2 linked regions of the Arabidopsis thaliana genome follow. The protein of the gene in region 1 interacts with the protein of each later gene in a pairwise test. Each region holds a gene or a part of one and is shown in the gene's direction. Other genes may lie near its edges.

What was found.
Region 2: the proteins of AGL65 (region 1) and LOV1 interact in a two-hybrid assay, tested with the Arabidopsis thaliana proteins (one large-scale study listed by BioGRID).

Annotation. Positions count from the first base shown.
Region 1 is NC_003070.9:6,458,802-6,475,686, forward strand, and holds AGL65 (AGAMOUS-like 65), read left to right. Parts: upstream 1-7,865; 5' UTR 7,866-8,377; intron 8,378-8,461; 5' UTR 8,462-8,464; coding exon 8,465-8,649; intron 8,650-9,096; coding exon 9,097-9,156; intron 9,157-9,255; coding exon 9,256-9,274; intron 9,275-9,364; coding exon 9,365-9,429; intron 9,430-9,486; exon of another isoform or gene 9,487-9,496; coding exon of another isoform or gene 9,497-9,519; coding exon 9,520-9,696; intron 9,697-9,794; coding exon 9,795-9,891; intron 9,892-10,007; coding exon 10,008-10,058; intron 10,059-10,147; coding exon 10,148-10,284; intron 10,285-10,361; coding exon 10,362-10,800; coding exon of another isoform or gene 10,801-10,839; exon of another isoform or gene 10,840-10,885; coding exon 10,886-10,897; 3' UTR 10,898-11,183; downstream 11,184-16,885. Other genes in the region: AT1G18720 (ER membrane protein, putative (DUF962)), read right to left, coding at 495-857; PnsB4 (NDH dependent flow 6), read left to right, coding at 1,824-1,889, 1,966-2,007, 2,095-2,272, 2,373-2,428, 2,517-2,588, 3,193-3,306; AT1G18740 (ROH1, putative (DUF793)), read left to right, coding at 5,324-6,472; AT1G18760 (Zinc finger, C3HC4 type (RING finger) family protein), read right to left, coding at 12,349-13,023; AT1G18770 (RING/U-box superfamily protein), read right to left, coding at 14,569-14,791, 15,150-15,247; AT1G18773 (acyl thioesterase-like protein), read left to right, coding at 16,147-16,218, 16,307-16,414, 16,812-16,853. UniProt on the Arabidopsis thaliana protein: Probable transcription factor that forms a heterodimer with the MADS-box protein AGL104 and is involved in the regulation of pollen maturation at the late stages of pollen development and pollen tube growth.
Region 2 is NC_003071.7:640,420-657,285, forward strand, and holds LOV1 (NAC domain containing protein 35), read left to right. Parts: upstream 1-7,118; 5' UTR 7,119-7,585; coding exon of another isoform or gene 7,586-7,624; coding exon 7,625-7,916; intron 7,917-8,058; exon of another isoform or gene 8,059-8,246; coding exon 8,247-8,515; intron 8,516-9,546; coding exon 9,547-10,230; 3' UTR 10,231-10,401; downstream 10,402-16,866. Other genes in the region: AT2G02455 (uncharacterized protein), read right to left, coding at 7,586-7,798; AL6 (alfin-like 6), read left to right, coding at 12,418-12,514, 12,689-12,721, 12,903-13,131, 13,717-13,843, 13,918-14,202. UniProt on the Arabidopsis thaliana protein: Transcription factor that acts as a floral repressor. Controls flowering time by negatively regulating CONSTANS (CO) expression in a GIGANTEA (GI)-independent manner.

The DNA of each region.
Region 1 (16,885 bases):
AGAACAACACTTGTTTCCGTCCAAGCACACATCAAATCCTCTTAACCAATGAGTCAACAACACTAAAAACATGACAAGTCTCCGGACCAAAGAATCAGAACCGTGCAAAGGTGGACAATTGCAGAACAAACTGCAATAACTACTAATCATGAATGTTCAAAGCTAGAGACATGATATTAGTACTGCTGTCTCAACGTTAACAGCTAATGAAGGGACCCATAGACAACAGATAGAGAGGACTAATGATATAAATAAATCTATTTCTTCTTCCCCGAGCATAACCAATGATATAAACGAACTTTCAAGTCAAAGCATAGAAAACAATGAACAATAAATGCATGAACCACACTCACATCATATAAATATACACATAGAGCAACACATGGATACACATAGTCATATACCCTCATAAACATGCTTCTACGCAATTATTTTCTCCAAAAATGAAGTTTTTTCAAAAACCCTAAATTGAAATTAGAGAAAAAAAATCTAACCTTTAAGGCAAGAGAAGATCCTAGTCGAACAGCAAGAAAACTGGAACCAACCCAGCAAGAGAAACACATAAGAGCAGCTACAAATCCAGATTTCTTATCCAAACCGATATAGAACAGAGCATAAATCAAGGCGAATATAAACCCAACGTTAAATCGCAAAACGCCGTCGAGGGTCAACGATTGAGAAAACCCTAATTGAGAGGGGTCGAAAATTGGGGTCGACGAGTGGAGGAGAAGTAAAACTGAGAAGAAGATTGGCCAAACGAAGATGATGTGGATTAGAATGTTGATCGGATTGCTATGGTAAGCACCGTAGAAGGCGAAGTGTTTCTCGAGATCGAACAATCCCATTATGCGACTCATGGATAAAAAATTCGTTGAGGAAGAGGTGTTTTTATGAGGAGAAGATCGGTGGAAATTGGATAATAGTCACCAAACAGAGGAGATTAAAGATATACACGGGAAGAAGACGAAAGTGGAAAGTTTGATTAGCAATTTCCCGAAAATGATGCTAACGTGCGCTTTTTAATAGCTAACATGCGCTTTTTAAAGCGATAGAAGTTGACTTGGCCGGAGATTTTCTTCCGACTTTTGACAAAATACTAGTCGCTAAGAAGAGTAGACGTGTTATTGTGATTGCTAACATGCGCGAATAAAAGCTGGTTTAGATGGATATACATCATTGAAAGTTTGGCAAATAGAACATACACTATTCAACGAATGATGTATTTGGGATGATTGCTAACATGCGCGCATAGGAAGTTGAATTAGATGGAAATATCATTAAAAGTTTGGCAATAGTTGCCAACGTACGCTATTCAACAAATGATGTATTTGGGAAGAGACATAAGCGGAAAGTTTGAATTTCACCAACCAAAGATTTATTAGCAATTTTAGTGTGGTTACTAACTTGCACGTCTAGAGGAGTGAACGTGTTTAGTGATTGCTAACCTGCGCGAATGGAAAGTTTGTTGGACGGGTAAAATACGAAAGTTTGTAGTTGAATTTTGCTGGAAATATCTTTACCACTCTTTAAGGCAAATAGTTGTTCCCAACCTGAGCGTTTTAGAAGGCTAAAATGTGTACTGTGATTGTCTAAATTGGGCTTTTAAAAGACAAAAAAAGTGTTATGCGATGTGATTGCTAACGTACGTTATTTTTTTATTTTGTTTATCACAAAAGTGAAGAGTGGACGATACCAATTCCCTTATCCACACATTTTCTGCCTCAAAAAATCTAATCTTAAAGATTAAAATAAATGAAAAAATAAAAAAGATTACACCAACATTTTTTTTTTTTCTTCTCCATTGCCACCATCAAGAAGTAACAATGGCTGAAGCTTTCACAAGTTTCACCTTCACAAATCTTCATATTCCTTCTTCCTACAATCACTCGGTACATATTATTTTATATTCTTACCAAAAATATTTCATTACGAAAAAAAGTTTAAGAATTGTGTATTGTGTTGTAGCCGAAGCAGAATTCAGGACCGAATCATGGATATTGGCTATCTGTAAGTAATTTTCTCTAACTAAGACTAAAATTAGAAAAAAAATCTCCATATTCTTGTGAATTTACGTCTTAGAATTTGAAAAATTAGAAGAATGTTAATGAGAAGAGGGAAAGGAATTTGATGAGAGGAAGCTTATGTGTAAGAAAGGCATTGCCACATGATTTGCCATTAATGGCTGTGATGGTTCAACAAATAGAAGGAATGCGTGATATCATTACAGAGAAACACGTGTGGCATCTAAGTGATAAAGCTATCAAGAATGTTTGTAAGTTAAACACTTGGGGTTTCTTGAGAGATTTTATTTTCTTTCTTAGACTTTTTTTTCTTCTTTTTCTTATGTTTTGATATTGATCTTGATATGGCAGATATGTTCTACATCATGTTCACTTGTTGGGGATGTTTGTACTTCGGTTCAGCAAAAGTATGAAAACAACAACTCAAACTGAATCTTTTGATACATTTGCTGCATTGGGATCTTAATAGTACTTTGTGATATTGGATCAATACAGGATCCATTCTACGACTCAGAGGAGTACCGTGGAGATGGAGGGGATGGAACTGGATATTGGGTCTATGAAACTGTATGTATCTCTCCCTTTCTAATACTATTAGGAAAGAAAGAAAAAAACTTAGAAATGCATACAAATTATAACTAGGGATGTTGCAATGGACCGACCAACCCGCTGTGGTCTTACTAGACCCTGTGGACCAGTTCAGATCTAGTTTGACCTCAGACTATCCCACCTTGGTCTTAGTAGGCCATGTAGACCTGTTCAGAGCCGGTTTTGAGTACTCCTCCATGTGTCTCAGCATGCGATAAACCTCCCTAAACAAAGAAAAATAGGTGGCTTTTAGGTTAGCGTTTACCGTTGGTATATATGCACCCAAAAATATGAATCCACAACCTTGATCATCTAAACGAAAGTCACAATCTGATAGATGGTAGGTAACATTGATCCATCCTATTGATAGATCAATCATGCTTAGTAAGTTTGAGCCGGGTTGGGCTTGATATAATAATTCAAACGTTAACAGATCTGATGGTAGGTAACATTGATCCTAAGTTGGGTCGGGCTGGGCTTGCTCGGGCCATTGACCTTTGGTATATCATCACAGATTCACAATGTGTACAACTATTATAAGATTGGATAGAGTTGTTATTGTGTTTTGGGTTATATGATGCAGCAAGAAGACATAGAAGAGAAAGCAAGAGCGGAGCTATGGCGTGAAGAACTTATCGAAGAAATTGAACAGAAGGTTGGTGGCTTAAGAGAGCTTGAAGAAGCTGTTACTAAGTAGAAAACTAACTTGTGAATCATAAACCACTTTACATACACATTATATATTTTCTTATATCAGTCATGCAACATTATATATACTCTCTAGCTTCCATATATATAATATATGTTATGTACTTCTTTGTTGTCTTGTGTTCTGAATCATTGAACGATCATGTTAGGAGCAATTGTCTCCTTCAGAAATTTATTGTTGACGACATCCGATGTCTTAAAAATATAAATAATTATGTTTGGTAAACTATCTTAATTTGCTTTTCTTGATTTCTTCGGTCGCAAGTTGGTCAGAGTGAATATTTATTATTTTTAAGTATAAAAAATTTAGTCAATTGGGGCTAAATTAATTGGTCGTATAGACTGGAAAGTGAGTCTGATGAGGAACAATTAGCGGGAAATACGCTTCTGCACGATTCTACCTGACAAAAACCAAAACTAATCAATCTTTAAAAACAAAAAATAAGTTAGCAGAGGTGAAGAAGGAGAGCTTGTCATGTCTTTGTCAGTAACCTTCGTGCTTCCATGTTTCAAAGCCTCTTCGAGCTTGTAATTGTAAACCACACGTGTGGTTTATTGTTTTTGTTTTCTTTTCAAATTTAAGTTTAATTTTCAGATATTTCTTTTTTTTGTGTGTGTGTTAGGAACACATGACAGGAGATATGATGTAACATTTTTATTTAAACAAAAAAAAGATCTGCATCACTGCATGTAGTGTATTTTGTCGTGTGTCAATTAATTCTTATAGTTGTACAATTTTAATTCTGGCCCAAACATGATTGATGACTTGTTAATGACACATATTTACCATATTCCATTATAATTATTTTTTTTCATTATACAGTTTCATAATAATACATTTCAATTTTCGGTTACCAAAAAACACCATTACACATTTCAACACAAAATTTATACTATCATACGATTATATAGACAATCTCGTTTCCGTCAGCCTCCTTGTGGATCTTGAATGTTCAATCCACACCTCCACATTTTGTAAGTAAGATCTTGAAACTCCTTCTTCAAACCTCGATCTATCTGATTAATAATGAGCGTAATAAAACGATTTTCTCAAATGAATCTAGTACCATCCATGCTACTGAGTCTCTTGTTACGCACTATACGCAGTCGTCTCATCTCCTTCTCGCTGGAGGATATCACTATCAGCATTTCTCTCCTTGAGTTTTACTTTGGTTCTATCAATTCACCTCATTAGTTGTGATACAACTCATAGTTATCTCTTTTAATAAAATGTTATATTAGCCTTTTTTGGTGTGTTTTTGAGATTTTCATTGTACAATGTACACCTTTTTTTTTATTTGGTGTAAAGTTTAACATTAAACCAAAAAAAAAAAGGATATAGACAAAATTACATGTCAACATTTTTGTGTCCTTGAGCATTCTAGAACGACGAGAAAGAATCAACCAGGACCGAGTCCCTTTACTTACCAATCTCTCTCTTCAATACACGCCAACGAAGACTTAGCTGGCTTTTTATCCACATGTGCATTGCATTGACCAAGTCTCTGTCACAGCTCCCATTTTCTCCACGTGGCACCCATTAATGTCTCATTCTCGACTTCATATACCACAGCCCCGTGACCAATGAATTTCCTCAAACTGAGATTTTATTACAGACAGATCTGTGTACTTTTATTTTATTACCACTAGACGTGTCCACTGCGTGTACTGTACCGAGTAACAAAAAGAGAAAATAAAAAAGGAATGAGAACACACAACAAATCAAATTATAGCTTTTATTTCGTCACACCTTTCTTTTTATTTAGTTAAGGAAAATGAGAAAATTATCCAATATTGAATGTTTCTAAAGCAGATATTAAAATACGCGGTCAAAATTCTCGCTTTATAAACACATCTCTTCTTCTTCTAGCTTTCATCAATCATCATCATCACTCTCTCTCAATCCAACAAAGAAAAAAAAAGTCTTCTTCTTTTTTTACAAGTCTGAGAATTTTCTACAGAAACAAAAATCTGATTGTTTTTCCCACTTTGCATCTGTTTTGAGGATGCCAGCTACGGATTTTCAAGGATCATTTGGAAGGTCGTTGCTAAGTTTACGGCGAGACCAAGTTGACTCATCAACAGTCGTCTCCGGAAGTAGTAGCCACCACGAGCCAAGCACCATGGAGGTTGAGCTAGATTCGTTTCAAAGACAAGTCGCTGAGAAATTCATCGATCTCAACGCTTCTTCAAACGACCTTCTCTCTCTCGAATGGATCGGAAAGCTTCTTGATTCTTTCCTCTGTTGTCAAGAAGAGTTTCGAGCTATCGTATTCAACCACCGATCTCAGATCTCTAAATCTCCGATGGACCGTTTGATTTCAGATTACTTCGAACGGAGCATCAAAGCTCTAGATGTCTGTAACGCCATCCGCGACGGTATCGAACAGATCCGTCAATGGGAGAAACTTGCCGATATTGTGATCTCTGCTTTAGATAGTCACCGTCCGATCGGAGAAGGTCAGCTCCGGCGAGCTAAGAAAGCTCTGATTGATTTAGCAATCGGAATGCTTGACGAGAAAGATCATCCTTCTGGAACCAATCTAGCTCATCGTAACCGTTCATTCGGAAGAGTCAAAGACAGTCACCACCGTTCGATTGGTCATTTCAGATCTCTTTCTTGGAGTGTTTCAAGATCATGGTCAGCTTCTAAGCAGTTACAAGCTTTAGCGAGTAACTTGGCAACGCCTCGACCAAACGATGTCGTTGCTAGCAATGGTTTAGCTGTACCGGTTTACACAATGACTTCGGTTTTGCTTTTTGTGATGTGGGTTTTGGTAGCTGCGATTCCTTGTCAAGACCGTGGATTGCAAGTTAACTTCTTTGTGCCTAGGCATTTCCAATGGGCAGCTCCGGTTATGTCGTTGCACGATAAGATTGTTGAGGAATCTAAGAGAAGAGATAGGAAGAATTGTTGTGGTTTGCTTAAGGAGATTGATAGGATTGAGAAGAGTTCGAGGTTGATGAATGAATTGATCGATTCGATTCATTTCCCGTTGAATGATGACAAGGAAGTTGAGGTGAAACAGAGAGTTGATGAGCTTGTTCAAGTTCGTGAAGCTTTGAGAAATGGTTTGGATCCGTTTGAGAGGAAAGTAAGAGAAGTTTTCCATCGGATTGTGAGAAGCAGAACTGAGAGTCTTGATTCTCTTTGATCTTGCACATGTTTGTCTGAATATGATGAATGATTCATGTTTGGATTTTTTGTTTTGTTTTTGTTTTTCTCTATTTATCCTTTTTGATCACTTGTAAAAAAGAAACTCAAAGAGTGTAGAAGTGTCATCTTCTCTTTGTGATGCTGATAGTGATTCTGTTCTTCTTTGTGTAGCTACTTGCTTAGATTGAAGTTATTTTTTCAATGAACAGTTGTATCAAATACTTCATTGAATTTGAAAGATTACATTCAAGAAACAAATGAATCTTTATTTAGAGAAGAGGTTCAACTAAAGGGTCTGTTTTACAATTCAAATGAAGCACATACAAAATCTAGACATAACCTTAAATTTCTCATCTAATCTTCACAATCTTCTGCTGGCTTGAGTCCAGCTTCATGTTTGTGACGTCCTACTTTATTTCTTGCAAGTGATTCTTCCTGCAAATAGAGCTCAAATGAAATCCAAATAAATGATTAGGGATTAGAACAGAACAAACATTTGTTGTAGACAGTATTCACGGTTTGCCTCAGACATAAGTGATATTCATCACTGAAAAATCTGATAATACGTGCAATTGTTTAGGCACATCATTGGCAAAACCAACTAAATACCCAAGCAAAAAAATGTTAAATAATGAGCAAAGGATTCTTAGTTATGTGCATCAGAGAGATTCCCATCTAGACATTAGTCATCATTATAGAACTTCTGATGTCCCTGTCTATTCATCGTCACTTGCACTAGTCAAAAGACACCAAAAGAGTATCAAAACGAAGCAAAACAGAAAATACTAGATCAAAGTTGATAAACAGTCTGTGAGATATGCATCAGAGAGATTCCCATCTAGACATTAGTCATCATTCTCATCTCCTAACAAGGAGATTCTGATGTCCCTGTCTTTTCATCATCACTTGCATAAATCAGGCAACCAAATCAAATCAGAAGCTAGAAGAGCTACCAAAACCAAATCATTAATAAGCTCAAAGATCACAGTAAAATAAGAGAAACCAGATGTGTAAAGAGAGAGAAAAAATGCCTCAGAGTTGATTTTTTTTTCGTAGAGACGCATCTCTCAAAGTATATTTAACACCATCACAGGCATCAAAATCAAAATATACATAACAAAAACAACCAAAAAACTTGCAAAAAGATCAAATCTCAAAACATTAACATGGGTCAATTCTAGGGTTTATCAAGAAGTGATAAATAGACGTATTTAAGAAGAGAGGCGGAGCTAATTAGGGCAGAGACAAGTCAAAGATATTAATGGGCTTTCTACTTTGGCCCAACGAATACACATGTTAATCAATTAACAAAAAACGGTTTGGTTTTGTCGGTTTTTAAGGCAATTGAATTAACAAAACCGGTTTGGTTAAACCTTTGTCTCTCTCTAGCACAGAAGCACACAATTCCGTTGGTCGACGTCTTAAGTTTCCCAGCGAAATAAAAGGTTGTCCCTTCGTCTGCTTCTGTGAGCTTTCTCTCTGTTCCACCATTAATCTTTCCCCTTTTTCTCTTATTCAAACTTTTCTTCCTCCTTCTTCTTCCTCGGGACAAATCTTTTTGGTGCCTTTTTTTCTTTCTTTCCTCCTCCATGATCTTTCTCTTCTTTGTGACTTTCGCCTCCTCTGTGCTCATTTTCATGAATTCTTCTCTTGTTTCGACGCAAACACCCATTTTTGTTTCCTCTGTTTCTGCTGCGAAAGACCCCTTTTTAAAAAAAAAACATCTTCCGTTACAGTGAATTTTGTTGTCTAGAGATAGACTCTGTGTCCGAATTTAGACGTCCCCCATCTTCAAAGATTGGTGCTCTTCTTCTTCTTTTAAAACAAGTTTCATCATTTTCTCAATAGGGAGAAATATACAATCAATTCCTTCCAATAAGTAGAATTTTATCAGGTGATTGAAGTGAGTATTCGAAGAAAATGTTTAGTCTTTAGAATATTTTCATTGTTGGTTATGGGATTTTGATGCTGTATTGGTTTTGAACAGGGGATGGGAAGGGTTAAGTTGAAGATTAAAAGACTTGAGAGCACAAGCAACAGGCAAGTTACATACACGAAGAGAAAAAATGGGATTTTGAAGAAAGCCAAAGAGTTATCGATTTTGTGTGATATTGATATTGTCCTTCTTATGTTTTCCCCTACCGGAAGAGCTACTGCTTTCCATGGAGAACACAGGTATAATTATCAAAATCATTCTTATGTTTTGTTGTTCTTTTATCATCTTTAGTTCTGTGTTTAAATGCATCATATCTCCATTTTTGATGCATTGTGTAATCTTCTCATTGCTCTTCTATCACAAAAAAGGTTTCACTGATTTTGGTTTAGGAACTGAAAGTTTTTATAAGGATTTAGTTTGAATGGTGAGTGTATTTAGAAGATCACAGATAAGGGGTATTTTGACCAGTTGGTTTAGTTGGGAGCTTTTGGCTTTGGGAGAGATTAGAGACTCTAAAACAGAGCCTAGTTTTTTTTTTATAGTTTCCTTTCTGTTATCAGTTCTTAGATAATGTTCTTCGTGAGTGATTTGGCTTCCTGAATCTCTCAGAGGGATGAGAGATTGAGGTTCTGTATTCAAGTTTTTAGCAATATACTGATTTTAGTCTTAACTTGGCTTTTGTGTAGTTGCATTGAAGAGGTTATTTCCAAGTTTGCGCAATTAACTCCACAAGAAAGGACAAAAAGGTATGGTAAGCATTATGTTGAAAATTTAAATTACTATCAATCCTGATGTAATTTTGTGTTATGAACCTAAATTGAAGTCTCTTTCTTTTAATATTACAGGAAACTGGAGAGCCTTGAAGTAAAGACATAAAAACTCACTGTGTATATCATCAACTTTTGTTTTTTTTTGAAACACAAATTTGAGCTGATTTGTTTTGCTCAATTGCAGGCATTGAAGAAAACTTTTAAGAAACTGGATCATGATGTAAATATACATGACTTTTTAGGAGCAAGGTACTTGCCGTGAGTTCTTACTATTAATAACCATATTTTGTCATTGTAAGCCTCTCACATATCTGAGATGTTGTCTTCTTTATCCTGCAGGAATCAAACTATTGAGGTATGGATCGACCATCTTCGGTTCATGAATTTTCTTGGATACTTTTTAATCTCTTTGAGTCAAATTGCTAAAGTCTGTGTTAACATTACCACACGACAGGGTCTAAGTAACCAAGTAGCCATTTACCAAGCTCAGCTAATGGAGTGTCATAGGAGGTTGAGGTGTGAAAATTTATAGTATCTTGAGTTATAAAGTTTTTGCTTTTTGAAATATAGTTTCAATCATATTTGAGTCTTTTTCTTCTAATGGCTGTTTTCAGTTGTTGGACGAACATCGATAGAATAGAAAACACTGAGCACCTCGATTTATTGGAAGAATCATTGAGGAAATCCATTGAAAGAATCCAGATTCACAAGGTGCGTTATCATATTTTCTTTTTCTCGATCATACAGACCTAAGACTCAGGATTCATTTCAGTTTCCTGAACCCATATAAATTTTGTTTACAAAAGATGTTTCCATTCATTTTGCAGGAACATTACAGAAAGAACCAACTCTTGCCAATAGAATGTGCAACAACACAGGTTATAACCATTTTGTCGCCTTTCCCCTCTCTTTCTCTTTGTCTCTCCTCAGGACATATTCTTAACCAGGCCAAAGCCTTTTACTGCAGTTTCACAGCGGGATACAGTTGCCTATGGCGATGGGAGGTAATAGTAGTATGCAAGAAGCTCACTCCATGTCTTGGCTTCCTGATAATGATCACCAGCAAACAATCTTACCTGGTGATTCCAGTTTTCTTCCCCATAGGTAAGAGTATAATAAAGTCACAGTTTCAAAAACCTTTTCATTATAAAAATGCTCACTCAAGTACTGGTTTCAAACAGAGAGATGGATGGTTCGATTCCCGTTTACTCAAGCTGCTTCTTTGAGTCTACGAAACCAGAAGATCAGATATGCAGCAACCCGGGACAACAGTTTGAGCAGTTAGAACAACAAGGAAACGGTTGTTTGGGGTTACAACAACTTGGAGAGGAATATTCATATCCTACACCGTTTGGTACTACTTTGGGAATGGAAGAAGATCAAGAGAAAAAGATAAAATCTGAAATGGAATTGAACAACTTGCAACAACAGCAACAGCAACAACAACAACAACAACAACAAGATCCTTCAATGTATGATCCCATGGCTAATAATAATGGTGGCTGCTTTCAGATTCCTCATGATCAGTCCATGTTTGTCAATGATCATCATCATCATCATCACCACCATCATCAAAATTGGGTTCCAGATTCAATGTTTGGTCAGACTTCTTACAACCAGGTTTGTGTGTTCACACCTCCATTGGAACTATCTAGGTAGATGATACACCAAACTGAATATGTCTCTGTATCTTTGGTGATTGCAGCAACCGAACTAACTCAAGACATGGCTCATGTATGTATGATGACTGGACTTATGTCTGACCAAGGACTAGTTTGAGCCATTGCCTACAATGTCTAAGATAAATATATATATGTAGACAGCGAGAGAGTGTGTGTACATGTTTTTGTATGTGTGAGCTTGTGTCATATACTCAGGGGAGTTTTAGGCATTTGTGTATAAGAGATGTTGTCTAGGAACCGTATATTACCTTTAACAAGAATGATAAGTATATCAATATATTAATGTTTTTATAGGTGTTGGCCAATATATTGTTTGAGACCAAATGGATTGAATTTTAAGATTAAAAAAAGGAATTTATATAATACTGTATAACAAAGGTGCCTCCATTGTGACGGTGATAAACACATGAACCATTGATAGATTGATCTCGGTGATGATTTTTTCACCAGAATCGACGCTCGAACGGTTATTGACATGTGGCTAGGATGGAGTCCAACAAAAATTTCTATAACAACAAGCGGTGATATATTGGGCTCTTTTTGAGCCTTTAATGTTTCTGGGGCTTTATGTATAGCCCATGTAAGATTTGGTTATGGTTAATAACTTAATAATATCTATTCTTGTGACAAACCCTAAATCCAATCTACTGTCCTTTTTTTTTTTTTTTTTTTAGTATGTACATAATTTTTTTTAATCTAATCCTAATTTACACATAATAATTAAATTAATCGACATTTTTTTTTTTTGAATATCAAGAGATTCTGGGCCGAAGCTCTTAATCCTCCAGGCCCGAAACAAGAGCATGTAAACTCCAGAAACTATCAGATTTAATTATACGCAATTTATGCGATTGTGATGAACGAACCCATGAACAACTCCACGATGTGCAACTCTCTCCGTAACATTGTCATCTCTTACCTAACGATTCTTACTTATATATGTTTTACCTACGATGGACAATCTTATCTCTATAGGGAAGACTAAAACGAACGGTTCTGCTTGCAGCATTCTGGGACTTTTGATTAGTATGCCAAACTAGTTTATTGAAAAAGTTAATTAATTATATTAACCAACCCAAAATGACGTTATTAGCTCATTTGATCCATGTTTTGGATTGTTGACAAAAAAAAAAATCTTAAAAGAGCGTTACGAATGAGAATACATCGGCAAATATGCAATACAAGACTGGAAAAGAATATATTTGTAGTTTTCCAAAATTTAAGAGAAAAGGAAAAGAATACTATAGAAAATACGAAAATTAGAATAATTATCCCTAAATTCAATCTACAGATTTTGTTTCTAAACTATTTCATTTTTTCTAAAATTTAATTAATTATATTAACTAATTTTAAAAAGGCATTACAAAGAAGGTTTGACCCGATATTTAATTTAAAATTGTTAACAAAGAGCTTTACGAATGAGGTTACATCGGAAAATACACGGGTATAAAACGGAAAAAGACTCCGGCGACAGCATCAAACTAGTTCATTGATCTTCACATGGCAACTTGAAACGACACAGTGGACAGTCATGATTAGTCTCAAACCACGTTAGGACACACTCATCGTCAAATTCATGTCCGCAAGGTAAAGTCATAACTTTTGTTCCATCGTTAAACTCTTCCAAACAAATTGTGCACCTTTCAGTAGAACTAGTGGTCTTCTTGTATATTTTCCTGGCTAAAGAATTGACCACGAGCTTGTTTGCGGGTCTCAAACTGATATTATTGGTCTCCTCCAAGGAGGCTCGAACCGCTTCTTCAATTTGATCCTCTTCTTCACTCAAATCCTCTTCTTCAATCTCATACTCTTCTTCGATCGGTTCATCATTAGGAAAAATAAGCAAGGACACAAGCAAATCATCCCCCGGAGAATAGTCACCTCTTGCGGGATTAGTTACTGCAACAACATAGAAAATTAGCTCAAATATCGCAGTACCCCATTCCATATCGTAATCGTTAATTAGCTCTGAATCCTCCAAGAAATAATGTAATTTTTGTTTGGTGGGAAACTGATTGTTTTCTTCGTTGAGGAATTCTTCGATAAACGATGTATCAGTAAATGTGTAGTCGTAACCGTCGATATTTGCATTCACTGAGAGTGTGCCAGCGTTTTCTGGTTGATGATTGCGTATGATATTGTGGTAGAAATCTATTCTCATGATTGATTGAAGAAAAAAGAAGATGATGAAAAATAAAATAAGAAATCAAAATGTTGATGGAATTTGTGTCTGGCGTTTATGTTGTTGTCACAACGTTATTTATAGAGGATTCTGCATGCATTTTATTTTTTTGATGGGGTCGGCAACATATTTATTATTTTCCATTTTTAAATACTAGAAATCTGATTTAACTTTTAATTAAATAATTATACTAACTAACGGCGTTACTACGCTTGTTTGACACATACAATTGTTGACAAAACCGGAAAAAGGTGTTTTGCATCGGCAAATACAAAACGGAAAAAGACCCCGGCGACAACACCACGCACTAGTTCATTGATCTTCACATGGCAACTTGAAACGACACAGGGGACAATCGTGATTGGTCTCAAACCAGTTTAGGACACATTCATCGTCAAAGTCATGTCTACCATATATTACGACGTTACAAGAATGATAAATATATCAATATGTTAATGTTTTTATAGGTGTTGGCCAAAATATTGTTTGAGCCAAAAGAATTGAATTTTAAGATTAAAAAAGAGTTTATATGATACTGTCTAACAAAGATTCCTCCATCGTGATGGTGGTAAACACATGAACCATTGATCGATTCATCTCGGTGATGATTTTTTCACCAGAATCGACGCTCAAACGGTTATTGACATGTGGCTAAGATGGAGTCCGACGAAAATTTCTTCAACAACAAGCGGTGATATATTGAGCTCTTTTTGGGCCTTTAATGTTTCTGGGGCTTTATGTATAGCCCATGTAAGATTTGGTTGTGGTTAATAATTTCTACTTTTGTGACAAACCCTAAATCCAATTTACAGTCTTTTTGTTTTTGTTTTTAAATATGTACATAGATTTTTTTTAATCTAATCTTAAATTACACATTATGATCAAACTATCAGATTTAACTATACGCAACTCATGCGATTATGATGTACGAATCCACAAACAACTCCACGATGTGCAACTCTCTCTCTAACATAGTGATCTCCTACCTAACGATTCTTTATGGTGGATCATACCTACGATGAACGATCTTATTCTTACCTAAGACGGACGATTCTGCTTGCAACATTATGAGACTTCCGATTAGTATGCCAAAATAGTTAATTAGAAAAAGTTAATTAATTATATTAATCAATTTATAAAGGTATTCCTAACTCATTTGACCCATTTTTGGGTTTTTGACCAAAAAATCCTTAAGAGCGTTACGAACAAGGTTACATCGGTAAATACGCAATACAAAATGAGAAACGAATATGTTGTAGTTTTCCAAAATTTAAGAAAAAAGGAAAGTAATAGTATAGAAAATCCGAAAATTAGAATAATTGACCTAAATCCAATCTACAGATTTTGTTGCTAAACTAATTTATTTTTTCTAAAATTTAATTAATTATATTAATTAACTTTAAAAAAGCATTACAAAGAAGGTTTGACCCGATATTGTTAACAAAGAGCGTTAGGAACGAGGTTACATCGGAAAATACACGGATACAAAACGGAAAAAGACTCATGCGACGGCATCAAACTAGTTCATTGATATGGCAACTTGAAACGACAGAGGGGGCAACTGTGATTGGTCTCAAACCACTTTAGGACACACTCATCGTCAAAGTCATGTCCACAAGGTAAAGTAACAACTCTTCTTCCTTCACTAAACTCTTCCAAACAAATTATGCACATTTCACCAGTAGAACTAGTGGTCATCTTGTATATCTTCCTGGCTAAAGACTTGACCACGAGCTTGCTTGCGGGCCTCAAACTAATATTATTGGTCTCCTCCAACGAGGCTCGAACCGCTTCTTCCATCTGATACTCTTCTCCAATTGGAATCGCGTCTCCAATCTGAAAGGTAGGAATAAGACGCAAGGACACTAGCAACTCATCTCCCGTAGAATAGTTACTACGATCACATACTGCAATAGCATATTCACTTAGCATTATTAGTGCAAATATGGTATCGTCGTCGCCGATTCCTGAACTTTATTAGTGCAAATATGGTATCGTCGTCGCCGATTCCTGATTCCATTAAGAAGTAATTGAAGTATTCTTTGCATCGACACTCATCGTTATCTTCGTCAAGGAATTGTTCGGCAAAAGATGAACCAGTAAACGTGGGATTGTAACCGTCGATCTTTGCATTTACTGTGATTGTGCCCTCGTTTTCTGGTTGAGGATTGCGTATGATACTGTGGCTAAAATATATTTTCATGATTGATTGAAGAATGAAGATGATGATGAAAAAAGAAGAAGTAAGAACTCAAACTTCTAAAATGGTTCTTGTGTGTTTATGTTGTTGTCACAGACGTTATTTGTAGAGGATTCTACTACGTTTGTTATATTGGTGGGATTTGGAATCATATTATTTATTATAGGGTCTTTTGCAAAAGTAACCATTGTGGAAAAAGTTATTAAATTTTTAACATCATAATCTGACAAAAGAAATAAGTACAATAAAGTTATTAAATTTTTAACATCATAATCTGACAAAAGAAGTAAGTAACACCAGTGGTATCTAAAAAGACTATTTTGTCCTTAGTGTCTAATACTTCAATTTCTATACTATTTGGAAGGTTTTATGAATAGGCACATTTTTGCTCTTGCTTTATTAATATAGACTCATTTCTCTGATCTCTGTAAACGTTTCTTCCACTAACATTCTCCAATGATCCCAATAAATCAAATTAAATGAGAATTTTGATGGAAGAAATTTAAATGAGAAGATTTTCTTTTGGAAAGATTCCATTTTTTTTTGTTATTATCTTATTTATTTTTCATTTTTAAAATACATAAATCTGATTTGCCTTTCTTTTTTTTTAATCACAATATTGGATTGGGAAAGAAAAACTCTGGGTAGAATAAAATTAAATAAAAAAGCATTGACGTGGGTTGCAACCAGAGAAAAGTGATGACGTGTCATGTCGTGATTGGCTGAATATTATTGACGAAAGAAGAAAAAAACGCTGTGTCTATCTCTCGACTCTCTCTCTCTCTGGCGATGGCTATCAAACCGGAGATTTCTGTCTCCACAGCCGCTCCATCGTGCGAACCGAGGTTAACCTACTCGGAGATTTACGACTCCGAGTCGGAGAGTAATCGTTGAAGAGAGCAATGAGTGCCACGGCCATATCACTTCTCTCGCCGTTCAAGCTCAGTCTCGCCGCTCAGGCTGCTATGGAACATGTTAGTCAATCTTTAAATTTCGTATTTGTTTGCAGTCAATAAGCAGAATCATTTCGGGTCTCTGATTCTCCATATTTTGCATATGCAGACACCAGTCTTGTGGTCTCATGGCATTGATGAAAAGGCTGTACTATTCGAAGCTGGTCAAGCAGCTCTTCCTTTTCTTCAACAAGCTGGTTTGACTTATGAATTCAAGGTATGAAATAGTTATCAAATCAAATACTCATGTTTGATAATATAACAGAGCAGAGAATTCAGATACTGATCCTCAGATTTGATGTTATTAGCATACTTTGTGAATCATTTACGGATATGCAAAAGTCATGTGTTTGATCTGTCCTCAGATTTGCTAATGTTACAGTTTGGAGTTGTGTCCTGAGCTAGAGAATGTCTGTCCCGGAGTTGTGTCCTCTGCTTCTTTGTGGACTGTATCCTACAGAGACAAATTGCATTTAAGACTTTGATAACTGCAATGTGTTTCTCTTTCACTGGCTGTTGAAAGCAGAAAGCCAAGAGTTGGAGCTAGTTGGATAATGTGTTCCTTACTATGTTCTGCATATGCATTTTAACAAGTGCCTTTTTGTTATATGAAGGACTTGTTGAGATTAAGAGAAGAGTATGTAGAAGAAGGCTGAAGAAGGTGATGAACATGATTCTCCAATAGAAA
Region 2 (16,866 bases), on another chromosome or scaffold:
ACATTAATTAAAGATGAATTGAAGTACATAAAAAATCAAAAACAATATTCCTTGATGATCCAGTTTTCGTTTGCTTCTATTATTTCCAAGACTCGTTGACCTTAATAAGAAGATGAGGTCCGTGAGAGATTTCAATAATGCACAAAAATACACGAATCCATATATAAGCTATATATACAGAAATACACAGAAAAAAAAAGTTAAAATTGTCGTTTAGAACACGTTGACTTTCAATAAAAAACTTCCATATATAAAAACACGTGTATAGACAAAGTTACACACACGTAAAGATATATCATCATGACAGAACAGAAGATGGATCGGATGTACGAGAGAAGTGACGATAAACAGAGAATAATAGATCAAAAAGAACATGGAAACATTACAGAAATAAATTTACGAAAAAACGTACAAAATAAGAGAAATTATTTTGGTGATAATTAATAAAATTAAGTCAACGGAAGAAACAGACGAAGAGATTCACGAGATATCCGCCTTGTCATTTATTTATCTTTTGTCCTACAAAGAGACATTTCATGGCCCGACTTCTCCGACCATTATATGTCCTAATAGTACTTCTTATTTATTTCACTTTATTAGTTCTAACAAACTTAATGGACACTCCATTCAAAAAATTTAGAACGTTTACCATCAATGAGAACAAACATTTTGAATCGAGATATAAGTTCTTAAAACTAAATTTAGAATTGATTTAGATAATATTTATATTGTTGGATAACAAAATCAACTCGTAGATCCATTGCAAAATAGTCTTAGATTTCGAATGGAGACGTGCGGTTTAATTGCAGATAAAGTGCGGTGCGGTTCAAATAATAACAAAAAAAAAAATATATATATATATATATATATATATATAAAGAATTTTGTTACTATTTGAAACGCACCGCACTGTGCGGTTTGGTTACTATTCGAAGCCTTGCTCTCTTTGTTTAGTCTTATAGTATGTCTAATATTATTTGTCTCTTCAGGATATTTGTGGAGATATACACGTAGTTGTGTCGATTCTTATGAAAAGAACTAAGATAAGAAGGTCCCCTACAGCGTGATTCTTGGAGGAGAACTCTAGATCTAAAATGAATTTGGTAAAAAATACTCAACGAGAAGTTGGTTTGTTGTTATTAAAAAAGGGAAAAACACATTTCTGGTAGATATGTGTAATCAAATTACTTTTAAAGTCAGAGAGTCAACGGACTGTCAGAGTCGAGTCCTGGGTCCGTCTAGTCAGAGAGTCAAGCATTTTTTTCATTAACCCCATCCTCATTAAATCCGACGGTGCTGGTGGGCCTCTTGTCTTGTTGTCTATCGTCCGATTAGATCTTCCTACGTCATTTATCCATTTCCATGAGGTCACGCTCATACTCTTCGTTTTCTTCTCTATGTTTTTGAACTTTCAGTCTCGAGTTCTCGACATTTTGACATCACCAAACCAATAGACTTAATTTCTTAATTATTTTAGAGAAGACTTTGATTCGTTTGTTGAACATAACGTTTTTTTCAAATCCATTTCATCAATGTACTCGCGTACGTTTATAAAAGCGATACAACAAAACAAATTTCATAAATTTCCACTAATGAACTCTATAGAATTTATAGAAACATTTATCATCGCAATCTAACGTTCAAAAATTTTTCATTAATGGACTTAGCTCTCGGATCTCCACGAGGTCATGCTGCCTGGTCGGTCCAAACAAATTCTTGAGATTCTCTATATGAATGAAAATATCGTTACCTATCAAAAGTATTTTTATTTTGAAGGAATGGATCGTAGAAGAGATGCGACATACGTCATTTTCATGCATTAAGTTTTGTCCCCACAATTAAAATTAAAATAAAAGTTAAATTTTGTAATTTTGTGTAAATGAAGACAAATCATTCTTCGATCAACTTGTGGCTGCATTATTGGCTGGGCGGTCCATACAACACACACACAAGATAAACATAAAATTGTACGTCGGTCTTATTCTTCCATGCAATTTGGTTGGTTTTATTCTATAGAATAGCCATCCCTCAAAAAAACCCATATTTTGGTTTATTTATTGTTTGACATACCAATCTTTTCACTTTCATACCTTTTAACATATCGTTTCAACGTGAAATAATTATTTAATTTAATATTTCTATCATTCATAAAATCTTCAGGTTTTCGTTTTTCTTTCTAAATTTATAATTACCAATTTAGTTTCATTGTTTACATTAGTGGTAATTATACACAGTTTAATTATCTTGTAGAATTTTAGCACTATATATTGCAAGTTGCAACTGATTGATACCAGAGATTTATATCCCGTGTATATAAGTCTGGAGATCAGCTTGAAATATATTAATATTGGCTTTTGACTCGTGTTGTGGTGATATAGAGTAAAAATGTTATAATAAGAAGCACCGAGAGGAATTGACAAAAACAAAAAACACAGAGAGGAAAAACTTATCTTTATTGTAAGAAAAAATTAAGAAACATACTTTTGGAGCTTAGTTAACTATTTAATCAGCTTGAAAATAGTTTATATAATTATATTATCCCTATATTTGTTTGTCCAATAATACCTTAATTTTAGTTTTCCTCCTATCATTTTCTAACAACTTGCAAATATCTTATCAATCATGGACGATGCCTTTGTATTCATAGGCCGGCTCATGATGATATAAGACGTTGGCGTCACCTATTGGCTATTGAGCATAAATATATACTGTATTTCATTTTTTCTCTTTTCTTAAAATGTAGAATATTTTTTTTTATTTTTTTTGTGTGGCTGTAAATTTATTATCTTGTAAATTCTTTCGCTTGAGCATTTAAGGAAGCATTTCATCAGTTTAAATGGCTCATTTATGAAACTTTCAAAATCAGTTAGACGAATAGGTAATTCTTGTATGTGACGTAACTATTCATAACTCATAGAAGGATATTTCGTTTTGGATATGGAAACCCAAATGTGAGATATGCAAAAAAAATATGAAAGTGAAATGGGACATATATGTAAGATATTAATTAATACATAAAAATACAAACAATTGAGTAAATGCAAAAAGAGCCAAGAGAAAGGGTTGACAACCGCCAAGAAGGCCAAGTCCACGAAATGCCTGTGGCTCCCAAGACAGGATTGTGTGTGTAATTTACACGATCTTATATTGACATATTTCTACCCTAAAGTAGAGTCAATATCATGTATTTAGTGAAGTTTTTTTTTGTTACAACAGTTGCGTTTTAGAATTTAAAAAAACAATCATAAACATGATGCAATTACAGTATGATTGACTTTAAAATTGAAACGAAAAATCCATTTTAGATTATGATCAACAATATATTGTTTTAATTATGATTAAAACCTTACAGAAAGTTTCTACCAACAAGAGTCTCTTAGCAAAACTTAAATCATTAGTAAGTAACTCATGAAAGTATTTTAACTCCCACCATAATCTTTTAATCTAAATAATATGATTTATTTTGCTCGTTTTTCACAGTACATAGTTACATACGGTATATATGTGTAGAGGCTCTTTGGTAATTTCTCTGAACATAAGATATCTAAATACCTATGAAGAAAAATCAGTTACTGTTCTAGATATTTTCCGACTACGTGAGACCAGGACAAATATAGCCAATCACGAGGAAAAATATAGTCTTATTAACATAGTCATTGGTTCAACCAACAAAAGCTAAATATGAATGATTTTATTGGAAGTTAAAAATGTCTCTTTTAACTACAACATTCTAGTAAGAGATTATCCCAAAAAGAGAAAAGAAAAAAAAAAAGTAAGAGAGATTTGATAGTGAAGGATACTCAATATAAACTTAATAAGTTTGACTAATATACTAATATAGTATTAATTTGAAAATGATGTTTGTGGATTACATAAAATCTAATATCCAAATTATATTATCACTATAAATTTAATTATTTTAAGTACACGATTTGATGAGAAACGAGATAGTGTTGTTGGTTAACCGATTCAAATTTCTGTTTTATTAAGTTATCGAAAGTTTAATAATTAATAGCACACAAGAATGTAAAAGATACGATCCAAATCTTGATTTGGAGAGCATATACTTTTTTTATATTAAAACAATCTGTCCATACATGTCATTGGAATCTAGATACATCCCAAAACAATCTGAAATATATTTATTATTGCGAAAAAGAAGGGTCAATAATCATAAGAGTGTGCCTATTATACTAGTATATAATAATAAAGTTGGTGGAATAATGAAATACTAAAGTTCAATTATTACTTGTAAAAGTAAACTAAAATCACCTAACTACAAAAACTGATGACCAATGAAATTGTAATGATGGTAACCAAATCCAATTAAATTCTATTCTGGGCAAAAACGAATCGATAATTGGTTAAAAGTGTTATTTTAGTTAGGACAAGACTTGTGATAGTGATCGCATAAGACTTTTAGGGGTTTTATTACTGGACCTATTCTAGCATCATCCTATTTCAAATCCTTAAATTCTTGTTCTCGAACCCGCTTTAAATTTTTCCTCGTTTCATATTATAATTGATTTAAGCAAAAGTATGATCGGTAGGAAATTCTTACAGCTATTATGCACTTTTATAACATTTGTTTTCCAATCAGACTCAAGTGTATATAGTGTGTCCCTTCTAAAATTCACAACTTCTATAACTATATTATATTTTCTCACCACGTTTTGTATCTTTCCTTTTTTGTTTTGGTTTAAAGCAATATGAGAATTTTACATGCTTTAGGTGTTTTTTTTTTCTTTTTACAGCAAGAAAAAATGAAGAGTACAACCCAAAGTTTACAGAGTAATGGTACAACAATTACCAGACGAATTATCTTCTTACAGCTTGGTTAAATCAATTGCTAAAGCACAAACTAATGGCGTGTATATATATTGCATATTTAGCCAAATAGTAAGCTTGAAGATTCTAAGACTTTCAAAGTAATCCCTTGCTGAGTTGCTATTATGCTGTATATGTACAATAGTATATAATAATTAAAACTTTAACGAAGACAAACTCATGTGAAAATGTAATAATCAGAAGACAAAATATAAGTTAATAATATGTCATATATATAATAATAGAAATATATGTTCTTTTCGAATTAAAATTAAAAGGTCTTAATTTTTTACAATTGCAAAAACTTTAAACTGAAAAAATGATTTAATCTTCTGGAATGTACATTATATAATATCCGCCACCCTACTTGCTACCCCTAGCTAAAAGCCAAACCGATGGAAGACTCGCTTGCATTAAATTATGCACTAGCTTAATCTACTTTTAAACTCTCTTATAATACATTTAATTCCTAATTTCTATCGCCATTTTATATTTTTACTGATATCAATATTCGAAGGGTCCATGCCTATGATTCCATGTCATACATAATATTTCCTTTCATACCTACATTCATTTTAATGAAAACCTTAAATATATATCCAAAAGCTATACATTTATGTAAACTAAACTGGTATAATAATTTTTGAAATATGTGTATGTCTACTGATTTACTATTTGATTAGTTCGTAGTAAATATATTATAAATTGTTTAAACATAAAAACAAAAAAAATCATGTAACTAGATAATTTTCTTGACGAAGATTCGAATTAACAACACAAAAAAGTTCATTTTCTGATATCGCAATGGTCTAATTAATGGTTGTTGAATAGTTTATCTTTTCCACGTTTCATAAGCTTTTTTGGTACGCGACATCCATATTGAAAAATGTCTGTCTACACTGAGCTCAATCCAATGAAATTTGTTGTGAATGAGATATATGCATTCACGGATTTCTAAAAAATATGAAGTCCATGACATCCATTGAAACATTTGACAAAATAAAAATATAAAATATGAAGTCATTACAACGTAGAGTAAGGTTTCTAAAAACCCCACTCTCGTTTCGTAGAAGCCCCACTACCACCTCACTTTAATTTCATTCATTATCTCATTTACGTTGATACTTTAAATTCATTTTTCCATATAAACTTGTAAGTATGAAATTTGTACTTAGTATATATTTTATCTATCTTTCCATGATGAACTTAAATATATTACAGTTTGCCTAGCCTTTTTAGCTCAGCTATATATATATATATATATGCTAATGTTGTTACGATGTTTATTGTTTTGTGTCTATATCTTATTTACTTTTTTGAATTATTAATAAAATGGAACAATTATACATATAGATTATAGATACATATATCTAAATATAATATATTGTATCTATATATATTAATACAAATTTTAAAGAACTGGCGGGTTTCTAAATTCTAACATATGTACTGTAAGTTCAGCTTCTTACTAAGTCATAGGAACATGGAGAGCGTTGGCAAAATCATGGTCAGTTTGTTTTGCATTCATAATTGAAGACATAGTAGTATCATGCAATGAAGATATGGTGGGCCAAATATATCATAAAAAAAATAGCGAAACAATAAGAGAACGTTCGTGAAGCTGAAGCATATGAAAAACACGTAAATATATTTATGACGAGTGACATAGTAAGCATACGTGATATTATTATTTAATTAGTAATATAGGCCACCAATCAGAATTCTTTGTCTCAACGATGAATAAATTAACTATAATAATCCAAATTTTTAACATTGTTTTAAGAATATCCGTTATTCAATTAGTCTACCTATAACAATGAATTATTATGGATCCTTTATCGCTATGCCTTGATCAGGAGAATTAGATTAGTTACACTTTCGCAATTTTTGTAGCGATGGATTGGAACAAAAACCAAAACAAAATATAGACTATTTACACATAAATTATACATGAAATCAACTTAATTTGTTATTCTCTAAAGTTTAGATTGTCTTTATAAAATACCAATCATATACCTAACTAAAACTAATGAATCTTTAACGTGCATGAGATGGTGCATGTGCAAATAAAACTATAAAGAAAACCATGATATATTTTTTCTAAGAATGATAGTTTTTGGGAATTTTAGACTTTCGGTCTATATTTTTCGTATGTCCACACCAATTGTTGATATTGCATTTAAAACATTAATTATTATTTTTTCCAAGTATAATTGAACTAGTAACCATGAGGTCCATGACATCCATTTGAAAGATGTCAATTCGTAATATTGTTTCAAAATATTTTTTCGTTTATAATACATAAACTTTAATTTTTCCTGTAAAAGATATCAACTGTTCTTTTCATTTGTGTTACAACCCAATAATTATTAAATATTTGAAACTTTAGTATTTAGAAAAAATACATAAAACTAATAGATAGATATTTTATTTTATTTTGAAACAAAAAGCTAGAAATGGAGAGTGAGAGAAAGGTCCAAAGGCACGGCTAAGAAAACAAAACCGTGGACACCCTGTCCTCAATTTGACAAGTCTTTGTCTCCTCCTTAACTCTCTTCTTCTCTCTCTTTGTCTTATTCTAGTTTGGTCTCAACTCCCAAAAACGATGACGTTTCATTCCTATATAGTCGTCCTCTCTTCTTCTTCTCCTCCTCTTATCTCTACTCAACACCACTCAATTTCATCTCTCTTTTTCCCTTCCATTGTTAGTATAAAAACCAAGCAAACCCTTAATCACTTTTCATCATCATATATCACCTTAATCCACATGCATACACATATCTAGTCTTTTTGATATATGGCAATTGTATCCTCCACAACAAGCATCATTCCCATGAGTAACCAAGTCAACAATAACGAAAAAGGTATAGAAGACAATGATCATAGAGGCGGCCAAGAGAGTCATGTCCAAAATGAAGATGAAGCTGATGATCATGATCATGACATGGTCATGCCCGGATTTAGATTCCATCCTACCGAAGAAGAACTCATAGAGTTTTACCTTCGCCGAAAAGTTGAAGGCAAACGCTTTAATGTAGAACTCATCACTTTCCTCGATCTTTATCGCTATGATCCTTGGGAACTTCCTGGTAAATATACATTCACATAAACACACATAAATCATCTCAAACTATTTGGAAATCTTAATTTCTATTCATATGTTAAGATCTTTCTTCTCTCTTATCACTTTCTCTCTCTATTTCTTTTTTTTTAACCTATATATGTACCTACCTCCTTATGAAGTATTACTATGTCGATCGTTAACAATTCTCAATATCTTTAAACGCTTCTCCCTCTTTAGTTTCTTTCTTAAATTAACCTAATTAAACAACCTACATATATATCATAAGATATACAAATATGTGTATGTTTTCATAATTAGCTTATGTATGTTTAATCATAGATATATGTATATGCAGCTATGGCGGCGATAGGAGAGAAAGAGTGGTACTTCTATGTGCCAAGAGATCGGAAATATAGAAATGGAGATAGACCGAACCGAGTAACGACTTCAGGATATTGGAAAGCCACCGGAGCTGATAGGATGATCAGATCGGAGACTTCTCGGCCTATCGGATTAAAGAAAACCCTAGTTTTCTACTCTGGTAAAGCCCCTAAAGGCACTCGTACTAGTTGGATCATGAACGAGTATCGTCTTCCGCACCATGAAACCGAGAAGTACCAAAAGGTATAAATTCTACTATAACTCTATATATATCCTATTCATACATACATAGATATAACCCTAGCTAGGTGGTGAGGCCTTTAAAATTGAAATTAATCCCTAGACAGTTTGAATTTTTTCTTTTTTGACTAGTTTTATTTATTTATTTTGGAATTGATTCGATAAGATCAAAAATACTTGTGAATGGACTAAATGTCAGGCGGCGTTTGCGCTTAAATCCAGAAAAATGTTCATGTCATATGCGTGAACTCTTTAAATTGCTAGACATGGCCCATATGTTATAGTAGAATACATTAATAGATAGATGCATACACATATATATAAACACACAAGTATCACACTCGACATTCATATACCTTAATTCTGCAGAGACATAGTTAGTTTTTCTTACAATTTATGACATGAATGTTCCTGCTCTTCCTCACATTAATTCATGTCTTCTATTTAAGTTACCCAACATTTTTTGAAATAATTTGGCATATATGAATTATACCAACATATTTATATGCGAACATTTAAAATCTATACGAATGATAACGGTTTATGGAGTAGACCGAAAAAATATTATGTATACGGAAAATGACAATGGATAGATAAATACATTTTTTGGGCTCTTTCGACTTATATGTCGTCACCATTTGAAACCATAAATTTATAAAATTTTCTATGTATATATATGATATTATGATGTATGCATAAGACAGCTAAAACAACAGGGTTGACATAATTATCTATGTGTATGTATTGCACATTCACTTGTACTAATAAAACTAAAATTACGCAATTAAATATATAAAAAATAATAAATATAATCATCTTAATTATATTTGCATTGTTACGTCATATGATAGTACTCTAAATTTCTTCTAAACGTGCTATCTTTTTTTGCTAATGCTAACTTTACATAGTTTGTGAATCTTCTTTCAAAACCATATCTTCGATAAATGATATTTTTCATAGATATTGTTAGTCTATATTTGATAATTTGATATATGTATCAAGTCTCTAATCAATGTGCTCATGTATAATTATAGGCTGAAATATCATTGTGCCGAGTGTACAAAAGGCCAGGAGTAGAAGATCATCCATCGGTACCACGTTCTCTCTCCACAAGACATCATAACCATAACTCATCGACATCATCCCGTTTAGCCTTAAGACAACAACAACACCATTCATCCTCCTCTAATCATTCCGACAACAACCTTAACAACAACAACAACATCAACAATCTCGAGAAGCTCTCCACCGAATATTCCGGCGACGGCAGCACAACAACAACGACCACAAACAGTAACTCTGACGTTACCATTGCTCTAGCCAATCAAAACATATATCGTCCAATGCCTTACGACACAAGCAACAACACATTGATAGTCTCTACGAGAAATCATCAAGACGATGATGAAACTGCCATTGTTGACGATCTTCAAAGACTAGTTAACTACCAAATATCAGATGGAGGTAACATCAATCACCAATACTTTCAAATTGCTCAACAGTTTCATCATACTCAACAACAAAATGCTAACGCAAACGCATTACAATTGGTGGCTGCGGCGACTACAGCGACAACGCTAATGCCTCAAACTCAAGCGGCGTTAGCTATGAACATGATTCCTGCAGGAACGATTCCAAACAATGCTTTGTGGGATATGTGGAATCCAATAGTACCAGATGGAAACAGAGATCACTATACTAATATTCCTTTTAAGTAATTTAATTAGATCATGATTATTATCCATGACAATAATTATTAATGCTGCTTTGCCATATTTTCATACTCCTTATATATTGTTATGGCGATAGACAATGATTGATTACTGCGAGTTTATGTAATGGAACTGATTCTCAACATATATAGTCAATTAAGTAGTTTTTTTTTTCTTGTGTTAAAGTTAATTTCTTTAAGCTAGATTCAACGTAGTTAAAAAAAAAAAATTCACTGTAATATATGAATACAAAATGACTAAGGAGTGCAATCCGTATCAAAAGTTCTCAAACAAACCAAAGAAGAAATAAACTTATTGGATTAGATTTTCATGTACGAGCCCTAACCGAAACCAGACTAAAACCAAACACTAACTAAACCATAACAATAGTAACCGTAAATCCAACCTAGTGATATTTAATTTGGTCTTCATTCCATTTCAAAATTTCAAATTGAATGTTGATATTTTTTGTTGTTTATTCATCACTTATTAGAATTCATTTTGCATTGTCATTTACATGCATTAGATCCAAGATGTTTAATTTTAGTTACCTGTTAGTGCGACTTTATAGATAAACAATCCACTAACTCTTAAGAATTCAACAACTAATTTTGAGATAGAAATATATAAAGATAAAAGATGTTAGCTAGTTTTTTGTCTTTGTAAATATAAGACTAATTAGGGTTTGACAAAAAAAAAAAGCATAGGACGTGCAATATTTGGTAAGAGCAGTTGTTCCCGTGATTTTGTCAGATATGACCAGCATGAACAGTTGTATGTTGTAAGAAATCAGTTCCCTTTTTCTCAATGAGAAAAACAAATTTAAACTTGACTTAACTCTCATACTAGTCTTTTTAATCCTAATTATTAACAATCTTTAATAATATATGTAATGTGGCAAAATCCTAATATATACTGACTTGAATATGATACGAAAGTACTAATTTTAAAGTTTTTTCCCTTTCTAACCGGTCGATGTAACCGTATTTGCATGTTTTCTTAGATTATTTTAAATAATATATGTCTATCACCTATATTAGTAAGTATATATTCATAGATTATAGTTGATTTTGCCCAAAGAAAAAAGAAGATTATAGTTGATTATACCACATCATTGATATTCTGTGACGAATTAGATTACAGTTGCGGTAAACGTATTCGCTAGCTAGTACGACGTGCTTAACGCAAAAATATTCAAAGATAACGAATCCGATTAATATTGGTTCGTTTCTTAATTCTTACATCTAGAATCACACATAAAAACAATAAAATAATTAAAAATTTGATGAATTTTTTATTTTTTTGAGTGATAAAAGGCAAAATGTTTTCCGTTTTTTAGTAGCTTTCTCTTTCAAAATATCTATTTCTGGTGTATATCGTGAAAAAAACTTTCAAAATACGTGAATGTGATGATCGTTGAAAACTTCAAATCTCATTTCCCCTAGGTTACTATAAAAGCCCACTATCCTTTAATGGGCCAGGCATGCTATTTCTGTACAATACAAGATGGACCTGAATGTTTTAACTTTTAACTTTTATCTTTAAGGTCAAGTTAATTGAAAACAAAAACCAAATTTGTGGATCAATTTGGATGCCTCAGCCTACGTATAAAAACATGTTTTTTTTTCGTAATATTAATGGAAATGAATATGTTAAAAAAAAAAAATACATGTTTTTTTCGTCGACACTTTTAAAAATAAAATAAAATTTAAATAAATGTCTTTGACCAAAATAAAAATAATGTAAAATTTGGGAGTGGGGAATGTAGCTCGGAAAAAAATAGGGTATGTAGATCGGAATTAATAAATAGATTTTATATTATTACATAAACAATAATAAAATACACAATGTTGTCTTTATTTAATTAATACAAAAATAATAAAATAGACAATGTTGTCTTTATTAATATTACTTCTCAGCCCCAAAATTAATCTTTGATCGGTCCCTTTTGTTTTATCGTTTTAGGGTTTGTAGCTCCTTTCTCTTTTTTTCTTTTCTCAATTTCCCCCAAATTAAAAAAAAACTCTCTCTTTCAGAGATTTACAAATTTCATTTCTCCAAATCCGAAACCCCAAAGTGAATATTTTTCCTTCTGGGTTTCTTTTGTTTGCCTGGAAACATTTGTCTCAGATTTTGATTTTGACCGGAGTACTCATATTCTCCGGCGATTTCTCCGGCGACATCGTTTGTGAAATGGAGGGAATTACTCATCCAATACCTCGTACTGTTGAAGAGGTCTTTAGCGACTTCAGAGGTCGACGAGCTGGTCTTATTAAAGCTCTCACTAATGGTCAGTTTTGGTCTGATTCTTGTTTCTCACTTGCGAATCAGAATGATAAGTATCTACAGAGTTACGATTTTGTGGCATTTGGGTTTTTCATTTGTTAAAAAAGAAGAACTTTTTTTATTTTGGGTTTCTTTTGTGAGATTTGACGATTCTGGGTTTTGTGTTTTGTTTATGCAGATATGGTGAAGTTTTACCAAACGTGTGATCCTGGTGAGTTATTTCTTCACAACTTTTAAAAAATTAGTCTTGCTTAGCTTCTATAGTTTCTAGTGAAATGTTTTGTTGAAGTTGTTGAGCTTGTATGTTGTTGAATTGTGTTGGTTAAAGATTGAGTTAGTTAGTCCTCCTCTGTGTGGTTTTTCTTTAAGGTGTTTCATTCTTGTTTATGTAGAGAAGGAGAATTTGTGTCTCTATGGACTTCCAAATGAGACATGGGAGGTTAATCTACCCGTTGAGGAAGTTCCTCCTGAGCTTCCTGAACCAGCTTTAGGCATCAATTTCGCTAGAGACGGAATGCAAGAAAAGGACTGGGTATCTTTGGTCGCAGTTCACAGTGATTCATGGCTGCTTTCTGTTGCATTTTACTTTGGTGCACGTTTCGGATTTGGCAAGAATGAGAGGTAAGGGTCCTTCTCAAGCTCAGTGTTTTTGAGTGTTGCATCTCAATTATGACAATATTGGGTGTACTCATGTGTGGTAAGGTTATAATGATCATTCTAGCATCCTCTTGTTTTGTCTATTTGTCTGATACAACAATCTCTGTGTGGATTTTTGTAACTCACGTGATCTTATTTATAGGGTCGGTTTCTGTGTAACTCTTTTTGTAAGTGGTTCCCAGTTTCTATTTTGAAGTGACTAGAGTTATGAATCGCACCAATCTGGATCAATGTTATTGAGATAGATATATTAGTCAATAGATGTGATATGTGCCTCTAAGTCTGATTAGTACTTCTTGTATTAGTCTTGTGCAGGATCACTGTAATTAGCCTAGGTAGTTTCCACTGCATTGTACCTTTGTTGAGAGCTCAGCAACAATCACTGAATCCATTATTTGATACTGGTAGCTGACAGGTTAAACGAAAAGCTTGAGCAGAATGAGTTGTTGATTCTGAATCTCATCAAATTCTTCTCTGGCATTAGGTTTGTTTGAACAACTTAGCTATCACTTGCCTTTAAGCTTATGCCATGGACCGATTCTTTTTCAGGAAGAGGCTGTTCCAGATGATTAATGAGCTGCCAACCATTTTCGAAGTTGTGAGCGGCAATGCAAAGCAGTCCAAGGATCTATCTGTTAACAACAATAATAGCAAAAGCAAACCTAGTGGCGTCAAGGTATCTCTTCTGTTTCACCATTTTGTTTTATCAATCTCTGCTAAGTTTTATCTCTTTGTATTCCTCACAAACAGTCTCGCCAATCCGAATCTCTCTCAAAGGTTGCAAAGATGTCATCTCCACCGCCAAAAGAAGAAGAAGAAGAAGAAGATGAGAGTGAAGATGAGAGTGAAGACGATGAACAAGGTGCGGTTTGTGGTGCTTGTGGAGACAACTACGGTACAGATGAGTTCTGGATTTGCTGCGACGCGTGTGAGAAATGGTTCCATGGAAAATGTGTGAAGATAACACCTGCAAAAGCAGAACACATCAAGCATTACAAATGCCCAACTTGCAGTAACAAGAGAGCTAGACCTTGAAGTTAAATAACCAAATTATGAAAAGGTAAAGCGAGTTAGGAGAAAATTATGAAAGAAGAAGGTGAAGTTTCCAGTTTATAAGAAATGCCAGTAAAAGGGACTTAGAAGATGTAAGCAGGTAAAAAAAAAAATTGTATTGCTTAGTCTTTATTGTTGGATTGAGACTATCTACAGTTGGTGATGTCTTTTCTTTTCTTTTTTTGGATTTTTGTTGTTGTTAATGTTAATTCTACTACTAATTTGTTTGGTCTGTTTAAGATATTTTAGTTCTGATTAGTAATTTTTTTTTTTTTTTTCTGATTAGTAATTTGCTAAAATTGTAAAAACTATTATGTCGTTATGTAGTCTTTTTATTCATCTTTTATCTTACTCTCTCTTTTATTTAGCTATTTATTTTGTTTCATATGATTGGTAGTTAAGTTGATTATATCACCATATATTATGAAATTGGTATTGGTCAAAAGGTATCAGTCAGGATTAATACTTCTAATTTTTTTTAAAACTGTTTCATTATTGTCAAAAAGAAAAACTGTTTCATTTGAAAAAATGGTTCAAGTATTAATTATCTAATACTTCTATTGTTTTTTCATAGTGCAAATATACATTGCCATCAATCTTGTTGTCTTTTGAACTTTTGCTATATATATAAAAAAAAAGATTGAAGTTGATAAATTATGACAGCCCAAATTATTACTTGACTAGATCTATTTGAGCCCAATGTTAGACAAGGATGTGTGTTTGGGCATGTAGCTTATATATCATGCCACTCATTTATTAGTTTACTTTTTTTTTTTTGGGTAATATGACTATCTATCCTCAGAATAATGATAATTAACTGACAAAAAAAACACCGTTGTCTTCTACTATTTTAATTTTATGACAATTATACCCCTAAATTAATTAAACTAAAAATAAAAGGTTCGATGAAACATTAGTACGTTAAATGAAACATTTAGTACGTTCAAATAAATATTATCCATATATCGATTATCTTACCGTGTTAAGACAAATATTATTTCGATATTTAGTATGTTACCATGTTATTATTCATATATCGATTATCTTACCATGTTGAGACAACTATTATTTCGATATTTAGTATGTTAGCATGTTATTATTCTATGTAAAATGTTATTATAATCGTTATCATTTTAATTATATAACATGATGTATTTTTATTGTGTTGATATATATAAAAATAATAATATTGATTCATAATTTTAAATCGATAAACATTTATTTAACATAGAATATGTAAATTTACCACGTTATTATATATGTTAGCTTGCTAAACAAATAGTTATATACTTATTTTTAAATATTAAAGTTATTTTGAATCGATGATATTTTTGTAATTAATCTAAACAAGAAGGATATTTCTAGTTTATATTTTATTTCTCTTGTCTATTTACCTAAATAACAGATTTTTATGTATAAATTCTTAATATTTTGTTTATTTTGTTCATCCATGTATATATTTTTAACTCACCCTTTTTTCCCTCCATTTATTAGTTTACTATATTTTTATGGATTTAAACATAATTTTTGCTCATTGACAAAAAAAACATAATTTTTGCTTTTCATAAATTATCTAAAGGGACACAAGTGTGTGTGTCATTCTCATGCATTATGCAACATATTCTCAACATGCAAAGGCTAATCTTGGATACATTAACTTTTAATTAAGATACACTCCCCAAGTTAAATTTTATTTAATATTTTTCTTCCTCTTGCATATATTATTAACTTTTTCTTATGTAATAAAAATTGTCTAACCATTTTCATTTTGCCAATTAAAGTAGTGTTATGTTCTAGGTCCATTATAAAATTTCGCGAGTGTATTATTCGACAGCTACATTCACCCAAAAAGATTAATCTTTTGATAAAAGTTTGGATTACTAGTTGATTATAAAATAACTAAATAACTAAAAGTGATGAAATAGGATAAAGTGAAGTTTTAAAAAAAAAATTATGAACAAGATAAAGTGAACTTGTTAAAAAAAATACATGAAGTAAAAGACTATAAATATATGGGCCACAGGGACAGGGGCCTTCCTATATCTAACAAAACCGTTGCATGTGCTTTTATTAGGTATTTTGTTATTTTGCATGCAAACTATAAAAGCATTATTTAAAGAAGTCAAGAACCCAACCTAAAAAAAAAAGAATCCAACCTATAAGTAACCATAAGCTTTTCTTTAATGCAAGTTCAAAATAAACTCAAATAAGTACACAAACTTTTCATTGTCAACATCTTTCGTTTGGTGATTACCATTAAAAGCAAAATCACTGGATCGATCAATGTTGTAACCTAATCATTCTCTTTTAATGCTTAATGCTTCAAGCCAAAATCAAGTTGATAGATATAGAAAAAGGTTACCAAATTAATCCGTTAAGACTTCATTTTAGTGGATATAATTTTTGTTCCTTAGTCTTGCTTAGTACGCATAGATTTTAATATTAAAACTCACAATACATTTATTTAGTTTATATTTATTTACGAACCTTTGGGTTCTATTTCTTAATATCAAACCGAAAATAGAAGTTATGATTAATTTAATTTTGTTCTAATTTTGGTATATAGACGAATCAAACTAGACTTAATTAAAGCATAAGCATTCTAGTCAATATGTTTTTTCTTTGTTAAAGATTATATTTAATATG